Arabidopsis thaliana: one gene and its partners. Each later gene encodes a partner of the first gene's protein in a complex. Each region holds a gene or a part of one and is shown on either strand. Other genes may lie near its edges.

Evidence for each region.
Region 2: SGA2 (region 1) and AT1G77310 share a complex: the UniProt entries of both Arabidopsis thaliana proteins name them as parts of the HIRA complex.
Region 3: SGA2 (region 1) and AT1G21610 share a complex: the UniProt entries of both Arabidopsis thaliana proteins name them as parts of the HIRA complex.

The regions. Positions count from the first base shown.
Region 1 is NC_003070.9:24,890,290-24,894,400, reverse strand, and holds SGA2 (ASF1 like histone chaperone), read right to left. Parts: upstream 2,062-4,111; 5' UTR 1,816-2,061; coding exon 1,707-1,815; intron 1,408-1,706; coding exon 1,292-1,407; intron 1,219-1,291; coding exon 853-1,218; 3' UTR 525-852; downstream 1-524. Other genes in the region: LIG6 (DNA LIGASE 6), read right to left, coding at 2,578-2,886, 3,038-3,137, 3,269-3,357, 3,437-3,598, 3,706-3,767, 3,873-3,907, 4,000-4,049. UniProt on the Arabidopsis thaliana protein: Histone chaperone that facilitates histone deposition and histone exchange and removal during nucleosome assembly and disassembly.
Region 2 is NC_003070.9:29,049,701-29,056,933, forward strand, and holds AT1G77310 (wound-responsive family protein), read left to right. Parts: upstream 1-1,797; 5' UTR 1,798-1,970; coding exon 1,971-2,219; intron 2,220-2,460; coding exon 2,461-2,547; intron 2,548-2,696; coding exon 2,697-2,789; intron 2,790-2,888; coding exon 2,889-2,965; intron 2,966-3,349; coding exon 3,350-3,479; intron 3,480-3,560; coding exon 3,561-3,929; intron 3,930-4,292; coding exon 4,293-4,374; intron 4,375-4,458; coding exon 4,459-4,571; intron 4,572-4,662; coding exon 4,663-4,749; intron 4,750-4,941; coding exon 4,942-5,067; intron 5,068-5,323; coding exon 5,324-5,458; intron 5,459-5,562; coding exon 5,563-5,610; intron 5,611-5,762; coding exon 5,763-5,873; intron 5,874-6,032; coding exon 6,033-6,479; 3' UTR 6,480-6,731; downstream 6,732-7,233. Other genes in the region: MEI1 (transcription coactivator), read left to right, coding at 7,040-7,219. UniProt on the Arabidopsis thaliana protein: May be required for replication-independent chromatin assembly.
Region 3 is NC_003070.9:7,572,194-7,579,559, reverse strand, and holds AT1G21610 (wound-responsive family protein), read right to left. Parts: upstream 5,617-7,366; 5' UTR 5,457-5,616; coding exon 5,217-5,456; intron 4,605-5,216; coding exon 4,518-4,604; intron 4,368-4,517; coding exon 4,275-4,367; intron 4,202-4,274; coding exon 4,125-4,201; intron 3,730-4,124; coding exon 3,603-3,729; intron 3,522-3,602; coding exon 3,180-3,521; intron 2,976-3,179; coding exon 2,894-2,975; intron 2,809-2,893; coding exon 2,696-2,808; intron 2,612-2,695; coding exon 2,525-2,611; intron 2,340-2,524; coding exon 2,214-2,339; coding exon of another isoform or gene 2,070-2,213; exon of another isoform or gene 1,933-2,069; coding exon 1,804-1,932; coding exon of another isoform or gene 1,762-1,803; exon of another isoform or gene 1,712-1,761; coding exon 1,664-1,711; exon of another isoform or gene 1,509-1,663; coding exon 1,395-1,508; intron 1,310-1,394; coding exon 917-1,309; 3' UTR 604-916; downstream 1-603. Other genes in the region: PUM20 (pumilio 20), read right to left, coding at 1-180, 224-431; PTAC6 (plastid transcriptionally active 6), read left to right, coding at 5,778-6,263, 6,364-6,432, 6,980-7,084, 7,319-7,366. UniProt on the Arabidopsis thaliana protein: May be required for replication-independent chromatin assembly.

The DNA of each region.
Region 1 (4,111 bases):
CCAAAATAATAGGTAATATAATTCTTATTCGTTATTGTCAAGTATAGGAATATATTATGTATTATTAGGTATTTAAAAACAACAATCTGTTTATTATAAAATATCGTATTTATTCAAAACATATAGGGCTTACTGGGCTTAGCCGAACACGGCTTTTATAATGTTATTGAGTTTAGTAATTAGATCTGTATTAATAAAAGTTTGAATAAAATATTTTTTAATATTTTAAAAGATATTTTCTTTTAACAAAACAAACATTTTTTTTTTTTCAAAGTAATCGAAATGGAGCCGTTTTTAACTATCTTTCGGTTTACCACAGAGTAAAATCGTTAGGCGAGAAATTGTAATGTGTACTACTTTTTTTTTTTTTTTTTTTTTGGTGAATAAATGCGGACTCATATTTTTGGCAGAACAACTGTGAAACGGTCCTAAAAAAATCACGGACTCATGTTTTTTTGGTGAAAGAATTATGGTTGATGATGATGATAATCATCATCATCAATGCTAACTATGACCATTTAACGGCACTTTTTTCAACAAATGATGAAGATCAAATGTCGCTTTGTACCTTGAGAAAATCTAGGGAAGTTATTCTACACCTATTACCAAATTCCAACCATCAGAACTCAGAATCTTGTTTGGCAACTGTTGGCTTTGCTTCGATTTAAAAAACCTTTGCCCAAAACATAAACATACAAAAATGTCAAGAATCACTTCCCTAAAGCCTCTAGAATTAAGTACAACAAACAGCATATAATGCTTTTGAAAGACAGAAAAGCAAAGCGCAACATCTGTGGAGACAATAGTTCTCAATTCTCATCCACTTTTCTTCAACTAGACTTGGTATAAGGATCATGATTCCTCAGGTTTTGGTTCTACTGACTGATCAGGTAAAACCTGAGCTTCACCATTGACATTAGGTTGTTGTTCATCAGATTGTTCAGGAGGAGCGGCAGTAGCAGCAGTCTGCTCTTCTTCTGGATGAAAATCTATAGGAAATTTAGTAACTCTAGGTTTGTCGGAAAGTATGTTCCTCTGAACTTTATCAATCAAAACCTTAGTTGGAGGCTCTTCCTTGAGTTGCTCATCCTCATAATCATTGTTCACGTAATATCCAACTCTCAAGAACTCTTGACCCATGTAAGAACATGTCAACAATAGCACAGTAACACCGATGATGTCTTCCTCCTGAATCTTTGATGGATCCGGAGGATCAGCCTGTAACAGTAGTAATAGAGAGTTAGACCAAGACTTTGTTGGTGCTTGGAAGAGGTAGTAGTGCATATGTTACCTGAAATACAAAGCGGTAGTTGCCAACATTAACAGGCCCTACAAGCACACTCTCTAGAAGTTGATCATAAGTCTCATCTTCTGCTGAGCCTACATAGATAAGCTTCCATTCCAAATCTGTACCACAAGCAAAAGCACGGGTCTATCTAAGTTATCCTCACCCTATAACAATGTTAACCAAGAACTTGTGCATAGATAAATCCAACTAATAGACAACAAGACTCTAGATTATCAATTAGAAAACAAACCATTAGAGCATGACTCTGACAAAGCAATTAGGTAACAATATGTTCCAATTACAATCAGCAGCAACAAATTGGTGTTGAAAACAATCCATAAGAATCAGCAGAGACTAAAACCTAAATAAAGTCGAGATGAATTACAATTCAGGGGAAGGAGAAAGAGGAGATTTTTACCGTCTTTGAGAGAATTCAAACACTCGTAAGAAATCTCGAACTGAAAAGGGCTAACAAAAGGAGCAGGATTATGCAATACAGCGACGTTGGTGATTTTGATTGCACTCATTATCTCTAATCAACAACCAAGTCGGAGAAAAACCCTAGGTTTCAATAAACTTCATCCAAACTCGGGAGAGAGAGAGACCCAGATGAAAAAGTTTCTCCCTTTTCAAAAAATTCGAAAGCAGATAATTCAAGAGAAGAGAGAAGAAGGAAGAGCTAGGGTTTTTTTTCCCCAGGAGAGAATTAATCAAAGAAGAAGCTTCAGAGTTTTTTTTTTTTTTTTTTTTTGATTAAGAAGACGATGAAAATGTTTTCAATTTTGGGGATGGCTTTCTTATAACCGGTTGTCGTTGGAATGGTGACCGGCTACTACCGGTTAAGTTGAATTGGCGGGAGGAATACTTTAACTCACGAAATGCAGCAGGGAAATTTGCTAAATATTTGATAATTTTAGTGTCCAACACATAAATACGAAAAAAATATAGAATTCAATCGATTAGTGACACAAATAAGAGATTACCAATCATATCCTATATACTTTTTTTTTTTTCTATCTTTCAATATTTTGTTACCAGTGTTACCATTTGTGTTTACGACATCAAAAAAGAAAAAGTGACGCACATAGATAATATATACAGATGGGTTAAATATTCACATAGTTCTAGGTAGAAATATTTACACATTCTACCTACAGATTAAAAACCACAAAAAATATTTTGTGAGTTAGGTTCCTATTTAAACACCCTTGCAACTTTGCAAGTGCTTGATAGCAAAAAAAAAAAAAAAAAAAAAAGTCTAAACGAACCAAAAGCAGATAGGAAGCGTGTTAATGTTGAGAAGTGATGTTCATTTTTCTGGTTTGAGCATGAAACATCTCTGCGATATCTGTAGCCGTACTACATTCTTCAGGATTTCTATCTGTCACTTTACTGATAAATCTCGGAAACCTAACAGAGATGCCTCGCGATGGATGGACGAGACCTAAACTGGCACTGTGAACAGGCGAGACTGTGAAATCAGCACCTCTGATTTCCCAAACTACCTCTGCGGAAAACCACATGTCAGGTGTCTCCCCTGTTCTGTAGTAAGGCGGCTTTTTCGCAAGGATCTTATCCTCCGAGTAGAATTCTTTCATCTGCAAGATAAGCAAAATAAGAAAGTAGAATCAAGCTTGAAATGGTTCTCACGTGACAATTAGGAGTCCAAGTATAGACCAAACCCAACGTATTTACTACCCCATCTGTTTCATCATTAAACAACAACGTTAGAGTTGAGCTTTTCATTACCTCGATGTAAAAGGCATCAGAAAAACCAGACATGACACGGCAGACACTCTGGAATTCTTCAGTCTCAGGGTTGAAGCAGGCCATAAGGAATGGACTATACCTACACACAAAATATATAAAAAACATCAGAATTCATCAAGATGCATTTGAGAAATTACCAGTAAACTTATGATTACAATTCTGCTTTTCAGAAAAAAAAAAAGAGAAAGTTGGAAAATATGTTTTTACTACCATCCTGCTTTTCTCCCATTGCCATACCAAGCACCAATAGGAACTAAATCCAATGTATCGCCCAATCCATCTACATAATCTCGCTTAACCTGAGCCAGAAAAGAAAAGCATTATTTAATCCATTTCCATCACATTATGTTTTAGTAAGATAATTTACAGCAAAGAGACCTTGAGCCATGAATCAGAGCGCTTTGTGGGGCAGTATCCAGCATTTACATCTAAAGACTTGACCATGATTCCTTCACAAGATGACTGAAATGCTTCTTCAAGAAAAGCATTTATCCTACTCAATGTGTCATGATTATTCAGAGACGCTTCTTCTGCTCCCACCTATAAAAATCAAACAATGATCAGTTCAATGAAAATACCAAAACACTTAGATACAGAAGAAGGCTATAGCCTATAACTTCTAGGTGAGAAACTACCGTAGCACTTACAGTTATTTCCTTAGCATACTCAAGATAACCTGGCCTAGTCTCAGGGAAGACCTCCTTTAGACCTGTAAGTTCAAGCAAAACCAAGTAAGATAAGAGTGGACATATATGAACCTGGTAGAGAAAATGAATGCATCAAGTTAAGGAAAAAAGAAAATGATGGGAATCACGTCTTCGTCTCTCACGGAGGGGAAGAGCCAACAGCCTGCATTGATACGCTAAGTAAATTACAACTCAACATATAAGTATTTGGATATATGCAAATGAAAATATAAATAGTGAGTAAAAGACTCATACTGTTCTCCATTGACAAACATAATATCAAACACGAAGACGCAGACTTCAACCTGCAGAAAGCCATTAGAAGAAAAGAAATACATCTAGAAGAACATATTGAAAACTACAAAAA
Region 2 (7,233 bases), 4.2 Mb from region 1:
GTTGTGTTCAATCAAAATGGTCCCAAAGGTGGTCCATAAAGACATGATTAGTCGTTTAATTAGCTTCTTTAGTCTATGATTACTTGATTAGTCGTTCGTTCTAATAAGATTCTCGCTAGTATTCTTCCATAATGGTTTATCATTAGAAAAAAGAAATATATATTGTATGTGTATATCAGAATAAAAGTTCATGTAATAACTTTAGTCTACCAAACCTAGCTAGTTGTATTATTATTTTACAATAAGACTCACACAGCCCCACTCATTCGCAATCATAACATCGGCGGAGACTTTCGCGACCAAGCAAGCGGGAATAAGTTTCATAGCTCCAGACAACGATGGTTAACTGACTTGTGTTCTCCTCGTTGAAGATGCAAATAAGTGCGATGATGATGAGCCAAGCATTTATCCGAATCAGAGTCTTGTTAACGATATTGAGTCACGGTTTGAATGTGACCAAACCCTTGCTATGATCCCTGTCATTAGAAGCCAAAAACGTGGAAGCTAAGGGGAGGATATTCATACACGAAGTCGCAGTATTTCTTCTTGTTGTCCACCTCATCCACTTCATCTTCTCATCCATATCATATATGTCGTCGGACACCGTCCATATTGAAGATGAATGAGCAGTTGCGGCGGAACTTAGAGGTTGGAGACTATGTCGACTTTATAAGAGATCAAAGAAGCATCACAATAAAAGAGAGAGCAGAAGAGTATCGCCATGATCCCTGGGAAGCGTGGAACTGCAAGGGTGTTATATAGGCTTATAGTGTTGTAGTTGTTGATAATTACTATATTTTGATGTTTGCATTACTGTCTGTCTATATGGAGCCATGGAGGTGATATCATAATCCAAGGGAGAATTAAGAGCTAAGAGAAAAACTTATGCTATCATCTAGCTACACATGATGCATAAAATCTGTGCCTAATTCATAGTTTTGATAATATGGAAACCAAGGAATGCTTTGATATATGACAATAAGCTATGGATCATCATTCCATTGCTAAAAAAAGAGAGAAAAACAATGGAGTTGAGAACAAAAATATGAGATGCGGGAATTGAACTAATCAAGTTATAATCTACTTGTACACATAACCATGTCCCACTCACTTCTCTCAACGCACTTTTGGATGCATCTTGGAAATATGAGAACAAACCATACGAACACTAAAACTAATTGTTTCGCTTTTGTATGATCAACAAAACAGACTTGTAGTTTGGAGTTGATGTAGTCTTACTGTAATGCCGTCTCTCGGTATTGACCTATTCCGACGCAGTTTCCTCAAGAACAATATTAATGCAAAAAGCAACAATTCTAAGGCAAATACATAAGCAAGGCAAGCAAAATAAAATTGTTGTCTCTTCGAATTTCTTAGAATAACTTATGTAACAACTCCTCGTTACTTGATGTTTCATTAATTAACGGACAAAACAAAGAATGACACATGATATTTTCATAATTAATTAAACATATTACCACATCCACTTTTATGAAACCAAAAGCTTAATAAAAACATTATTTAACCTCTAACAAATTTTAATTTATTTTATAGACAAAATAGACACTTTTTTCTCTTGAAAAGTGATTCTTAGGATTCTCTCATATTTAGTCATTTTAATTTTTTGAAAAATTGAAACCTAAATATGTTTGTTTACATTTAATTTGCACTAAAAAAACAAAAATCATTTTCCGAGAGACAGAAAAAAATAAATAGTAATAATTAAAACCTGTTTACGAGGAGGAGAAAAAATAAAATAAAAGAAAATAAATAAAAGCTTAAGAAGCGTCTCATTGCTGGATATCCCGCGCAACGTTGTAACAAAAATCGTCCTCTCAGTTCCAATCTCTCTCAGATTCTCCTCCTCATCACAATTCCCCACTCCTTTGATTCTTGTCCCAGAGTCACGTCCTCTCCTATTCGGGTCTCTACAGAGTCTAACTCTGACCCGACCCGACCCAATTCACTAAATGGAGGACGAACCAAAGCTCCCAACCGATGACGGTCCAACTTTCAACGAATCGTGTAAAATCTCGTCTGAGATATTGACCGCCGGTGATCGGAAATTACTTAAAGTTGAACTCCTCAAAGAGGAGACCACGCTCGTATCGTGGAAGAAGCTTATGGATGAGGCTAGCAAAGAAAACGGCGGCTTGTTCGTTTCGGCTCCCGAACGGCTTCTTAATGCCAACCCTAACCTCGAGTTTCGCCTTGCACCGGTGAGTTCTTAGCTGCCTACATGCATATTCTCATGTATTCATTTCTCTGTCTCTGTTAGACCAATTTTTGTATTGTATCATCATTCCGGGAGCTGAATTGGGAAATTTCTCCTTGACATTGAGTTTAGAGCTAGGGTTTCAATAAACTAACTCTTGAAAATGAAACAAAACTAAAGCTGTATAGTGATTTCAATGTGGATACTGATCATTGTCTAATGATTTAGCGATATATCGAATGCAGGGGGCACAAACAGAGAATGAAATGGTGAATCAACCTCATCCTAATCGTCTTAACTCTGTTATAGCCAAGATTGAGAGACTTTATATGGTACCTTTTCTTACTACTGTTTCTATTGATTATCTGAACAAGTAAGATGAATGTTTGATTTCTTATTCGGAACATTTTTCATACCATGCATTAGCACTGGTTTTGCAACAGATTTCTGATTAGCGTATACTTCATAAAATAAATTTCAGGGTAAAGACGGTAGTGATGGGGAAGAGTTAGACGGTGCTCCTGACGATGATGACTATGACACTGAAGATTCATTTATCGATGATGCTGAATTGGTTAGTGTAGATATCCTGACTATGGCTTTCTTATGTGATCAAAGTGTATCTTGATAGCTGAGACATCCTTCTTTCTTTCTTTCTTTTTTCCCATTGTAGGATGAGTATTTTGAAGTTGATAATTCGCCAATTAAACATGATGGATTTTTTGTCAATAGAGGAAAGTTAGAACGAATGTAAGTTTTTTGTCCTCTTTTTGTTGTATGTTGTCGCATTTCTCTATGGCAGGTTTGTCAGTTTTCATTTGGTGATATGTTGTGGAGAATAGGCTATGGGCAGCATAAGTGTGTGAACATATATTTGGCATCACCGTTCTCTTCCCTCTAATTAGGTTTATGCAATGTTTACTCAGGGCAGAAATATTTGATAGAATTTTCTTGATAATATTGCTACTTCTCTGCTAACATATCTAGGTTATGGTCAAAACGCAATGAATATTTTGTATCGTTGTGGTCTCTGATTATAAATAGGATTCAGGTTTCCCTGTTTCCTTATGAGTAGGTTATCTTCCATTACCATTCTTACCAGTTTATCTAAATTGTGTTTCCTTCCTACAACAGTGAACCTTCAGCTACATCGAACCAGCAGCAACCAAAGAAAAGGCGAAGGAAGGAGTCAGCAAAACCTTGTGGCGATGTTGTTGATGTATCCAGAAAACGAGCCAAGATGGCTAAGACGGCTGGGGGAAAGGTACATTACTTGCAAATAACTTTTTGAATCTATTTTAGAGTTCCATTCCAGACAGTTGATTATTTGAATGTGAAAGTCCAGGATCAATCTGCTTCTCCTGGGCCCTCTTCGAAGAAAATTTCCAATGATTCAAAGACGGTGCAAGATTCGTTTTCCCCTTTGAAAGCGCAAAATGGCAATGATTCCTTAGTTTTGGAAAATGTGAAGCATACTGATAAAGCGAATCACCAGCCAATGAATGCCACGAGTCCGAAGTCAAAGGCAGCTGGATCTTCTGGCCCCCTTCATCCGAAGTGCAGCAGCAAAAGTGTTCATGAACAATCTAATTCCCCTCCAGGAAAATCTCGGCCAAATGTTTCGGCAAAATCAGCAGTAGTTCGTCAGCAAGTTAACAATGGCATGCCTGACCTGGACATTGCAACGGAAAGCAAAACATCTATTCAAATATCTGTAAGTACTTTCCAGCTATCTTAAGTTTATTAGATTCCTCATTTTAGTTAGTTTGGAATTTGAAGTAAGCATGTATTTGGGGCTTTCATCTTCTACATCCAAGAGTGATGCTTCTCTAATCTTTGAGACTGTAGAAATGATCTGTAATTGTAAAGATATTAGCATTTAATTAGGAGAGTTCACGCATTAGATGGCTTCTATCTGTAATTAGTTTTCATCTCGACTCTGGGTTGATCTTTCTGGCTAATATTTGCTTCCATGCTTTACTCTTGCATATCTTACAATCTGTACTCAATTTTTTATTTTTGGAATGGAGCCCCCATGGTATTTACATTAGATTGCTCTTTACCTTTCTCTATTTAGAAAAAAAGCGGTTCAAATGGCCGGCCTAAATACTCGACACTTGAGAAAGCCATCAGGAATTTGGAGAAGTTGGTCGCTGAATGTGAGTTTCAACTGTTTCGTTGTTCTCTACATGCATGAGAAGCTAAATACCATTTAGTAAACTATCATATCCAATTTATTGCAGCAAGGCCTCCTGCTGCCACTGAGAATCAAGATGCCGATATCTCTTCCCAAGCAGTGAAGAGGGGATTGCCAGGAGATGTAAAATTGCATCTTGCTAAAGTTGCTAGAATCGCGGTAATCAAACTCTTCTGTTTCTAAATATGTATATAAATTTTAATAATCTTTCAGATGTATGAAGAAGAGTAGCAATTTTCTTTTCTTGAAGTATGCGAGCCAAGGTGAAATATCAGGAGAGTTAATCAATCGTCTCATGGGCATTGTCGGTCATCTAATACAGATTAGATCACTTAAGGTATTCATCTCTATCTCCTGCATACCGAGACTTGTTATCGTAATGGAGTTGTGATTCTTACTGAGGCATTAAAGTATTTAGATTTTTTCGATTTAAGGTGAAAGCTCTTCCATTCCAGAAAGAGCTAACAAGATCTGTATTTGTTAGTGAAGGAGTTCAAGCTCTTACGGTTTAGTAATTGTTATTGTACAGAGGAACTTGAAAATCATGATTGATTCGATCGTCACTGCAAATCGAGAAAAAGATACTAGATTTCAGCGGATCAAGAGTGAAATAACTGAGATGTTAAAAACACAAGTTCCACTTGTGGAATCCCAGGTTCTCTCCCTTCTACTCTACTAGTTTCTCTGATCTGATTTTCAAAAGTATTTCGTATCTGCTATGTTGCATAGATACTTTTGTTCTTGTCTTTATTGTTGGATTTAAACATCTTCTTTCGATGATGCACGAAACTCAGAGTTCTCTCTGATTATGATTGGCCTTGGATAAGCACTTATATCTCCCTTTTATTGAGACATTGATAAACATCTGATATTTTGAAATATTCCTTGCGCTGACATAAATTGTTTCACAGGAAACAAATCAAGAAGCTGGAACATCAGACGATTTTCAGGATGTTGGATCTCTTGGAAAGTCACCTGTGAAGAAGTTTGTCATGGATGTGGCGCTGGAGGAAAAATTGTGTGATCTATATGACGTGTTTGTTGAGGTAATTAATATTTTCCATAACCTTACATAAAAAGGTGTTCCAACTTGTTAGATGCAGAATTGTAAGTGTCAACATAGTTTTTGCTCTGTTTTTGGTAATACTAGGGAATGGATGAACATTCAGGTTCACAAATCAGAAAGCTTTATTCAGATGTAAGTTCCTCTCCAACCTTTATATTTTGCCATTCTTTGTCTATTTGCTTTCCAGATCCATTCAAAAACATTAGACTAGACCTTGCCTAATATTCAAGATTGTTTACCAAACCTTCCTGATTGATTTTCTTTTGGATTTATTCTTGCTCCAGCTAGCTCAACTGTGGCCCAATAGTTTAGTTGACAATCATGAGATCAGGCGTGCCATTTGCCGGGAAAAGGAAAGGCGGAGAGCATTGGAAGGAAACATTGGGAAGGAGATGGTATTTGAGAAATTCTTAACTTTTTTACGCCATAGCTGTTTGTTTGCTTCTAACGTGCTAACTTTTGGATGTGATAAATATCCATTTGTCATCGAATATTATCATGAACTCGCACATTTCGCTCATGTTTATCATTCCTCAACTTTTATTTTATTTTAGGATCAAACGAAGATAACAAAGAAGAAACAGACACAATTGGTCCCTAAATCTGAGGGTATTACTTATCCCGACAAGACTTCAGGTGTTGAAGTTAAAGCAAGTGTTGTCCTAACTGCAACCACCACGTCCTTAGTGGACTGTCAACCTGCAGCAGACTCGTCCTTTGAAAGGTCAAAGCAGCAACATGAGAAATTAAAGCGAACTTCGAGCTTAAGCAATCCTGCAGCAGAAGGAAAGAAAGTCAGAAGAAAGACAGAACCAGCTCTAGAAGAAACTCACCTGCCCGCAGAGAAACCCCTCGTTCTGGCCCTGAAGCGGCAGACACATCTAAAATCCAAGACACATAAACAGGTACAGGTACATCCACAGTCCAAGGCACATAAACAGGCACAGGTACATCCAAAGGCCAAGACACAGACTCCTCCAGACCTGAACCTGCCAAGTTAGGTACTACAGCTTAGATTTTTTTTCTCAAAGTCTGGCTCTAGCCTTGCCTTTGTTTTTCGTAGCTATAGTTTCGCTTCTAATTTTTGCGCCTAGTATTGATTTTCTAGTCGTTTCTTACGTAGAAGACGAAGTCCCTCTCCTCGTTACAAATTAAAGATGTTAAGAGAAGCTCCAATTCTTTCAATCTGTTTTTTTTGACGGAATAAACCAACACATGTAGCCTATTTCTAAATGGGTCTAAATTTGTCGGCGGCCCAATAAGGGGTCATAATAAAAGAATAAAAAGCCTTAAAAAGGAATTAGTATGTATCTGAAATCAAGCTCACTGGACTGGACGACCAAAAAAAAAGCGCACCGAAAATTCCCGCGTTCTCTTCTTACCAGTTACCACGCCGAATCACTGACCTCAAATCCAGAGCTTGACGAATCTCGTGCTATGCGAATGCTACTAGGTTCTAATATCCATCTTCTTCCGACGATTCTAGGGTTTCAATTTTCTCCGATAACCCCGTGAAGCTCTTACAAAGTCGAGAAGTGCGTGGTTAGGTTTTCCGGCGGCGATGAAGACGACGCAACTGTTCAAAGGGGCAAATGTTTTTATGTCTCGGAATCTGGTGCCTCCTGAAGTCTTCGACACACTTCTCGATGCTTTCAAGCTTAACGGTGCCGAAATCTTCCTCTGCTGCGACCCATCTCGGAGTGGTCCCTCTGATTTCCATGTCATCGCTTCTCCCGATCATGTGCGAAATGTTCT
Region 3 (7,366 bases), about 17 Mb from region 1:
GGAAGCGGCGCAAGATAGCGGCGGCGAATAAAGCGTCCACGTCATCTGTTTTTCCGAGAAGTTTCTGAATGCGTTTGGAGCCGTTCATGTTTCTTGCGATCATCAAGAAGTAATCGGGATCTGATGTCAGCAATGACGCCATCGTTTGAAGCTTTCTTTGGTCTAACTTCGAGATCATCTCTTCAAACGGAGCCGCAACATGATCTTCGTTATTAGTCATTACGGACATCCATTGCAATTTGCAAACGCATCTCCAGTTCTTGAGGAGTTAATGCGGCCAAGAATGAGTAATTAGTTAAAGGCGACGGAGATGGTGTGAATCTCGGAGGAGGAAACGCGACGGAGATGCAACGTGGATGAGGAAGAGCAACCGCCGGATACTCTTCTGAGATGGGTTCTCTTGCGGCGGCAAAACGGAGCTGGTGTGCCATCGTAAATTGTGGAGAATGAGAGAGTGTTGAGAATCTGTGAAATAATGAGCCATATTTATACTGTTTTACAAGTAATAATAATATTAATTAAAATTGATTATTCATATTGTGTCAAAAGGATTAATGTAGTCATTTTGATGTATTTCATCAATTTTACATTATCGTCCGAAATCAAATTTTCAACTACGTTACCCAAAATTCAGTACTAAAACCTGCTCTGTTTTTTTTACTCAAAAGTAAAGAGTTGCCCGTAAAATCATAACTTTATACATTAGAGTTTTGAAAAAGGACACGTAAATAGAGTAACTAACTTAATAAGAGCCAAACTGGAATACAGACAACTTTATAAACCATGCTTTGTAGCTAAAAAAACCAAGCATCGGCATCGCCAGGACTAATGCCGTGCCACCTCAAAATACAAGGAAGGAAGAGGCCAGAGGTTATTGTCTCCGGCGTTTCTAAGAGCTCCTTTGTCAATCGTGATGTCAACTTGGCAAGTTCAGGTCCGGGGTTGTTCGTGGGATGTTCAGATTCTGAGGAGCTGGGATTACACGTGTCTGTGGATGTTCGGGCTTCTTCAGGGCAAGAACGACTTGTTTCTCAGCCATTACAGCCTCGTTCTTTCTCTTGACCACTCTTGTTTCCTCTGTAGGATTGCAAGAGCTTGAGATTCCCTTTAGCTTCTCAGGCTGCTGCTGATTTGATCTGTCAACCATAGTTTGACTAGTGACCACGGAAGTGCTGGTTGCATTTGGATCAACAATCAATTTTTTTTCCCCACTGTGTTGTCTCTGAACCACTAATTCGGTGTTGGGCTGAGCAGTACAGTCTGTTCTTGGTACCAACTGCTTCATACTCTTCTTCATCTTTGTTTGATCCTTTAACAAAGCAGAATCTAATCAAGCAAAGCAAATTGCGAAAATTTTAATGCAAAGAGGTAAAGGGCTGAGAAAATTCTTTAACTACCATCTCTTTCGCAAGGTTTCCATACAATGCTTTTCGTCTCTCCTTTGCCCGGAAAATTGCATGTTTGATCCCACGATAATCCATCAATCTATTTGGCCAGAGTTCAGCCAACTGGAGCATGAATAATTCCAAAACAATATTCATCAAGCTCTAACAAACCACCTTGAGCTTTTGGCTAGGTCTAATTGGTGATTTAAGACATGAGATAAGCTTGGAACAAAAAAAACCAGAATACCAAAAATAATCGGGAATGGAGAAGGGCTTACATTGACATATAGCTTTTTTGTTTGTGGACCTTGATCTTCATCCAATCCCTAATATACCAAAAAACAGGAACAAAACCGTTTTGACTCTAATTCTATGTCTAGAATTGGCATGGCAGATTATAAAGGTAAATGATAATTACGTCGATAAATATGTCATATAGGTCACACAATTTATCCTCCAATGCCGCATCCATGACAAACTTCTTCAAAGATGGCTTTTCTACTGAGTCCTGAAAATCGTCTGATGTTGCACCTTCTGGTTTGATTGCCTATGGAACATAAAATGATAGTGCAAGAAATATCATAAATGTCACAGGTGCCTCAACATATTAATAGGAGGAAAATACGCTACAAAGGCAGATTGACCCACAGGGAACATCGAAAACAAAAGAATGAAGAGCTTGATCTACGGAAAACCATTATCAGAGAGAACTCCAGATTTCATAAAAGTTAATGACACTTCCAAGAATGTAATAAGATAGAAAAGCCATGGATGAAAGAAATGCCTATCAAGCAACTTAAGATTAGAACAGAGAGAGAGAGAGAGAACCTGTGATTCCATCAAAGAAACTTTGGCCTTTATCATATCAAGAACTTCATTGTTGATTTGCTTGAACCTAGTATCCTTTTCTCGGGTTGCAGAATCTCCCATATCAATCATGATTTTCAAGTTCCTCTGCAAAATAAGCATTACAAAGAGTAAGAAACCATATTTTGTTTGCTTGTACCTGAAACAGAAGAGTTTTTCACTGGAACATGAATGTCCTGAAGAAGACTAACTATTTAAACACCTTGACGAAAGTCCTAACAAGTCTGCTTTAGTAACAGAAAGACTAGGATACAGGAGACAGAAAATTTTACCTTAAGAGACCTAAGCTGGATTAGGTGACCAACAATGCTCATAAGACGGTTGATTAACTCTGTTGAATGTTTTCCCTGGCTTGCCTGCTGCCACAAAAGGCATATTAGTTTTTTCTCATACCGTTTCAAGTTTCAAAAAAATGAGAAGAACAAATGGAAAAGCTCTAGTACCGCAATCCTAGCAACTTTAGCAAGTTTCAATTTAACATCCCTGGGCAATCTTCTCTTCACTGCCTGGGATGAGGTATCAGCTTCTTGATTTTCAGTGATAGCAGGAGGCCTTGCTGCTTATAAATCATAAATTCTTGTAAGTTGAAAATCACCAAATGCTATTCTAGTTGGTCACACTTGAAAAATATTAAAACTCACATTCCACAACCACCTTCTCCAGTTCCCTTATGGCTTTCTCGAGGATTGAGGTTTTAGACTTCACATTAGAACCATCTTTTTTCTGAGTAGAGACAGGTTATTGCAGAATTATAAAGCAAGACTGATGTAAACTTTGTGGTAAGAAAAATGCATGGAAGCAAAGATTGACCAGAAAAATATCACAGAACCGAGATGAAAACTGGAGAAACAAAACTACGACCTTAGAATGCAACCAACTTACTGAGTGTATTTTATGTAATTGTAGACACAGTTGGAATGTACTTACAGACGCTTGACTAGATTGTCTGCTTCCCGTTACATTTGCCAGCTGATGCATACCATTGTTTTCTTTCTGACGGACTACTGTTACCTCTGCAAAGACATTGGGGGGAGATTTTCCTAGCAGGGACGTAGATTGTTGGTGTAAGCTTTTGTTGCTGTATTTCTGATGAAGGGCACTAGAGGATCCAGTTTCCCTTGACTTGTGACTTGTATCATTCCTAGACTGATGATTTGCTCTATCAGAATGCTTCACATCATCCAGAGGTACTGAAGTATTTGCATCTTGCGCTCCAGAAGGCAAAGGTGACTCCTGTGTTTTCCAGGACCCAGGAGCAGTTGATTGATCCTGGACTTCCCCATTCGTATAATCAGTTATCAGACTCAAACTCCGACATAAATTAGTATGATTTGCAATAAAAGATGTTACCTTTTTCCTAGCTGTTATAGACAACTTGGTGTGTTTATCGGATACGTCAACTGCATCACGACAGGGTTTTGCTGAATCTTTTCGTCGCCGTTTTTTGGGTTGCTGGTTAGATGTTGTTGAAGGTTCCCTATTGTGAAAATGAATCAGGGATTAGATAACTTGTAAATGAAATATAGCATGATTAGGCAAAATGAGAAAAACTCTATCCTATCGAAAGTGCAAAACCTACATCTATATGAACGTTTTTTAACCAGAAAAGTTGAAAAATGGACTTTACCCATACCAAACACCCTACAGACATTAGTTAAGGCAGTAGTAGCAAGACTGCCAACCATATTTTACCATTTGGAGAGACTACACATATCCAAATAGGAAGAAAAACTGAAAAGCAAGGTGATTTCATATGTTTATTTCAAAAACTTACGACATGCCTATTCTAAACATGATCTGAGTGATTGAAAAGTGACAAAGCCACCAAAGAGTTAAGAGACATCAGATAATGAAAAGAGGAAGATAACTCACATCCGCTCCAACTTGCCTCTATTTACATAAAATCCATCATGTTTAACTGTTGAATTATCAACTTCGAAATACTCATCCTGCAAGGAGTAGAGTAAAACAGAGATATGATTTCTCAGCTATCAAAAATATTTGAAAGATATCAACACCAACCAGTTCAGCATCATCTATAAATGAATCTTCAGTGTCATACTCATCATCATCAGGAGCACCGTCTAACTCTTCCCCATCACTGCTATCGTTCCCCTGAGATTTATTCTCTGAAGTAAGCATACACTTTTCAGAGATGTGTGAATGCAACAGTGCTATTGCATGGTATGCAAAAATGTTGTGAATGTGAAAAATCAAACATATAACAACCTACCAAGAAAAGTGTTTTAACAAAGAGTAGCATACCTTATAGAGCCTCTCTATCTTCTCAATAACAGCGTTGAAACGGTTAGAATGAGGTTGTTCATTCGTTTCAATCTCTACTGGATGCCCCTACATTATATACGAAAATACAGCTGTTGAAAATGATTTTAACCACCCATATTGTATGCATAAGAAGAATATATTGTGAGGAAGCTGCAAGCATATTATACCATCTTAAATGAAGATCCACTATTATATGCTTCATTCTCTTGCACTAATAGATATTAATAAAACTTTCTCTATATTCTTCACTATTACAGCTATAGTTTCCATTGCAACTATGTGAACCAAATTCCTTTCCAGATCAAGTATAATTGATGGCATATTCACATTGATAACGATGAAGTTAGCCTAATGTAGCTAGCAATTAGAAATGAAGCCAAAGATCATATATCAGGTTGTAGACTTTCTCCGTTTAAGGAGTTTGCTTATTGAACTCTAGTCACAGACGTCAGAGAGCAATAACAACAGAATTCCTCCTATACCATATCGATTTCAAGCATTTTCCCCAACAAATAAATCTGAAAATCTGCGAATTTAGTAAAGCTCCTTTATAAACCCTAACAAAGATTACAACTCCCCGAAACAAGACAAATGCTTACTCCAATAACAGCAAACGAAACCCACAAATGCCTACAAGTATATATATCCGATTACCAATTCCTACAACATCAAACTCACCGGTGCAATTCGAAACTCAAGGTTAGGGTTAGCATTAGGAGGCGGGTCGGGAACCGAAGCCGATAAACCATTGACCTTACCAGCATCCCTCATAAGCTTCTTCCACGAAACATACGTCGTATCCCCTGGCCGAAGCTCCACCTTGAGTAATTTCCGATCACCGGCCGTTAAAACCTTCGGCGACGCTCTCAACAATTCGCCGCCAATAGAACCACCACTCATCTCATTAACTTCCGACATTAATAATTCGGGTCGGGTCGGGTCGGATCAGTTTGATCCACTATATACTAACCCCTGGGTTCGAGACGGATTGATCTAAACAGCAATCAAGAGAGTGGAATCGATGAATCGATGTAGAGAAACTGAAACTGAGAAGAAAAAGTTGCGCGGGATACCAAAAATGACGCTCTTAATTATTTCCTAATTTATTTTTGTTGTTTTATTCACTAAAAAGGATTATTATTATATTATATAGTTTTTCTTTTTTTTTTAATTGTATTTTTCCTCGAAATATCTAATCCACAGATAGATAGAACACTCTGTGAGCTTTATCCGCTTCCAATGGCGTCTTCCGCCGCTTCTCCTTCCTTATCTCTACTCTCATTCACCTCGAAGCCACCTTATCCCTCCGGCTCTCAGCGGCTATTTGCGTCATTCAGAACGGACGGTCTTTTCGCGCCTTTAACACTGAAATCCCGACGCGGCCGTGGTATAGTCGTTAAAGTAGATGACGTCGATGCTGATGGAGGTGGAGCGGACGAGTATGATATGGATGATGAGGAGGTAGAGGAAGTTGACAACAAGAAGGACTATGATGTCGAGTATGACCCCTTGGCCGCCGCGATAGCCGCTGCAGGCGGTGGTGGTGATGGAGATATCGCTTTTGTTCAGAGTAAGAGTTTTATATCGACACAAGGATGGGATTCGGATATGGTGGTTGATTATCGGATAAACGAAGATGAGTTTCATAAACTCAGCTTAATGGACTGTGATTTCTTTATCAGAAAACCTCCTGATCCAGATAATGATGTTTATGATTTCAGAGAGGTGTGTGAATTCCCAGTGACTCTAATTGCTCATTTCTTCGATTTCTCTAGAGTCTGTGCTCATTCTTCAATTGTAAATTGTTTTGTGTGGGTGGCTGCAGATGTATGTTACTCCTCCGGATACAGATATTTACTCAATTCCGAGAGTTCTTGCACCGATGCCTCAAAAGGTCAGTCATTTATCCTTATCGGTTGCTGTTTTTGTAATGCCTATGCGTTGTTCTGAGACTTCCTTTTGTTCAGCAAGATAATTGCTTTTCATATTGTGCTTAATTGCTAATTGAACCCATATACCTCCACTCTACCTAGTAATTGTATCACTTAAGAAATCTTATCTGCACAGAGCTCTACCTAGTAATTGTATAACCCATATACCTTCACTCTACCTAGTAATTGTATAACTTAAGAAATCTTATCTACACAGAGCTGTACACGTTTGGTATTGTTTGGAACTTCTACTCACACTGATAGACTGGAATTTTGAACATATAATCTCAAAAAGTGCCGTAAATGGTCAGCATTTAGTATGATTAGAGAGTCAGAATGTAGCAGCTGGGTGTTTGTTTAGTCACTTTCCTTTCATTCTGTGGCCAGTTTTGTACTCTTTGCTGCTTCATGATTGCGTATGTTTTACATTGTAAGGTTTATTTATAAGCAAGTTGTTACAATGAGTGAGTGGTGCTAACAAGGGCTTGTTTAATGATGTTACAAGTACAGTATATTCGATGTGCAATGAGTGACTATGGATGTTACAATGTCACTGAACCACCTATTGATGCCCCCAGAGATCCACTGTACAAATCTGAGAGGGAGATATCCAAGGTACATATTGGACCATGTACATTGATGTTAAATCCATTAGGTCTTTGATGCAGGGAGTCTTGAGCAACATGTATTAACAAGGATGTACTTAGTTTTGATTTGACAACATTTTTGGAAACCACACCAGGAAATATGTTTTTTAAGCATTAAGGATGAGATCAACACGAAACTACTTAGTTTAGTAGTTACAGTTTCTGATACAAATTGTCTTCATCGTGTTTATTTTTTATGCAGGTTTTCTTGACAAAACATTACCGGAACAGAAGGACAAACGATCCAGAA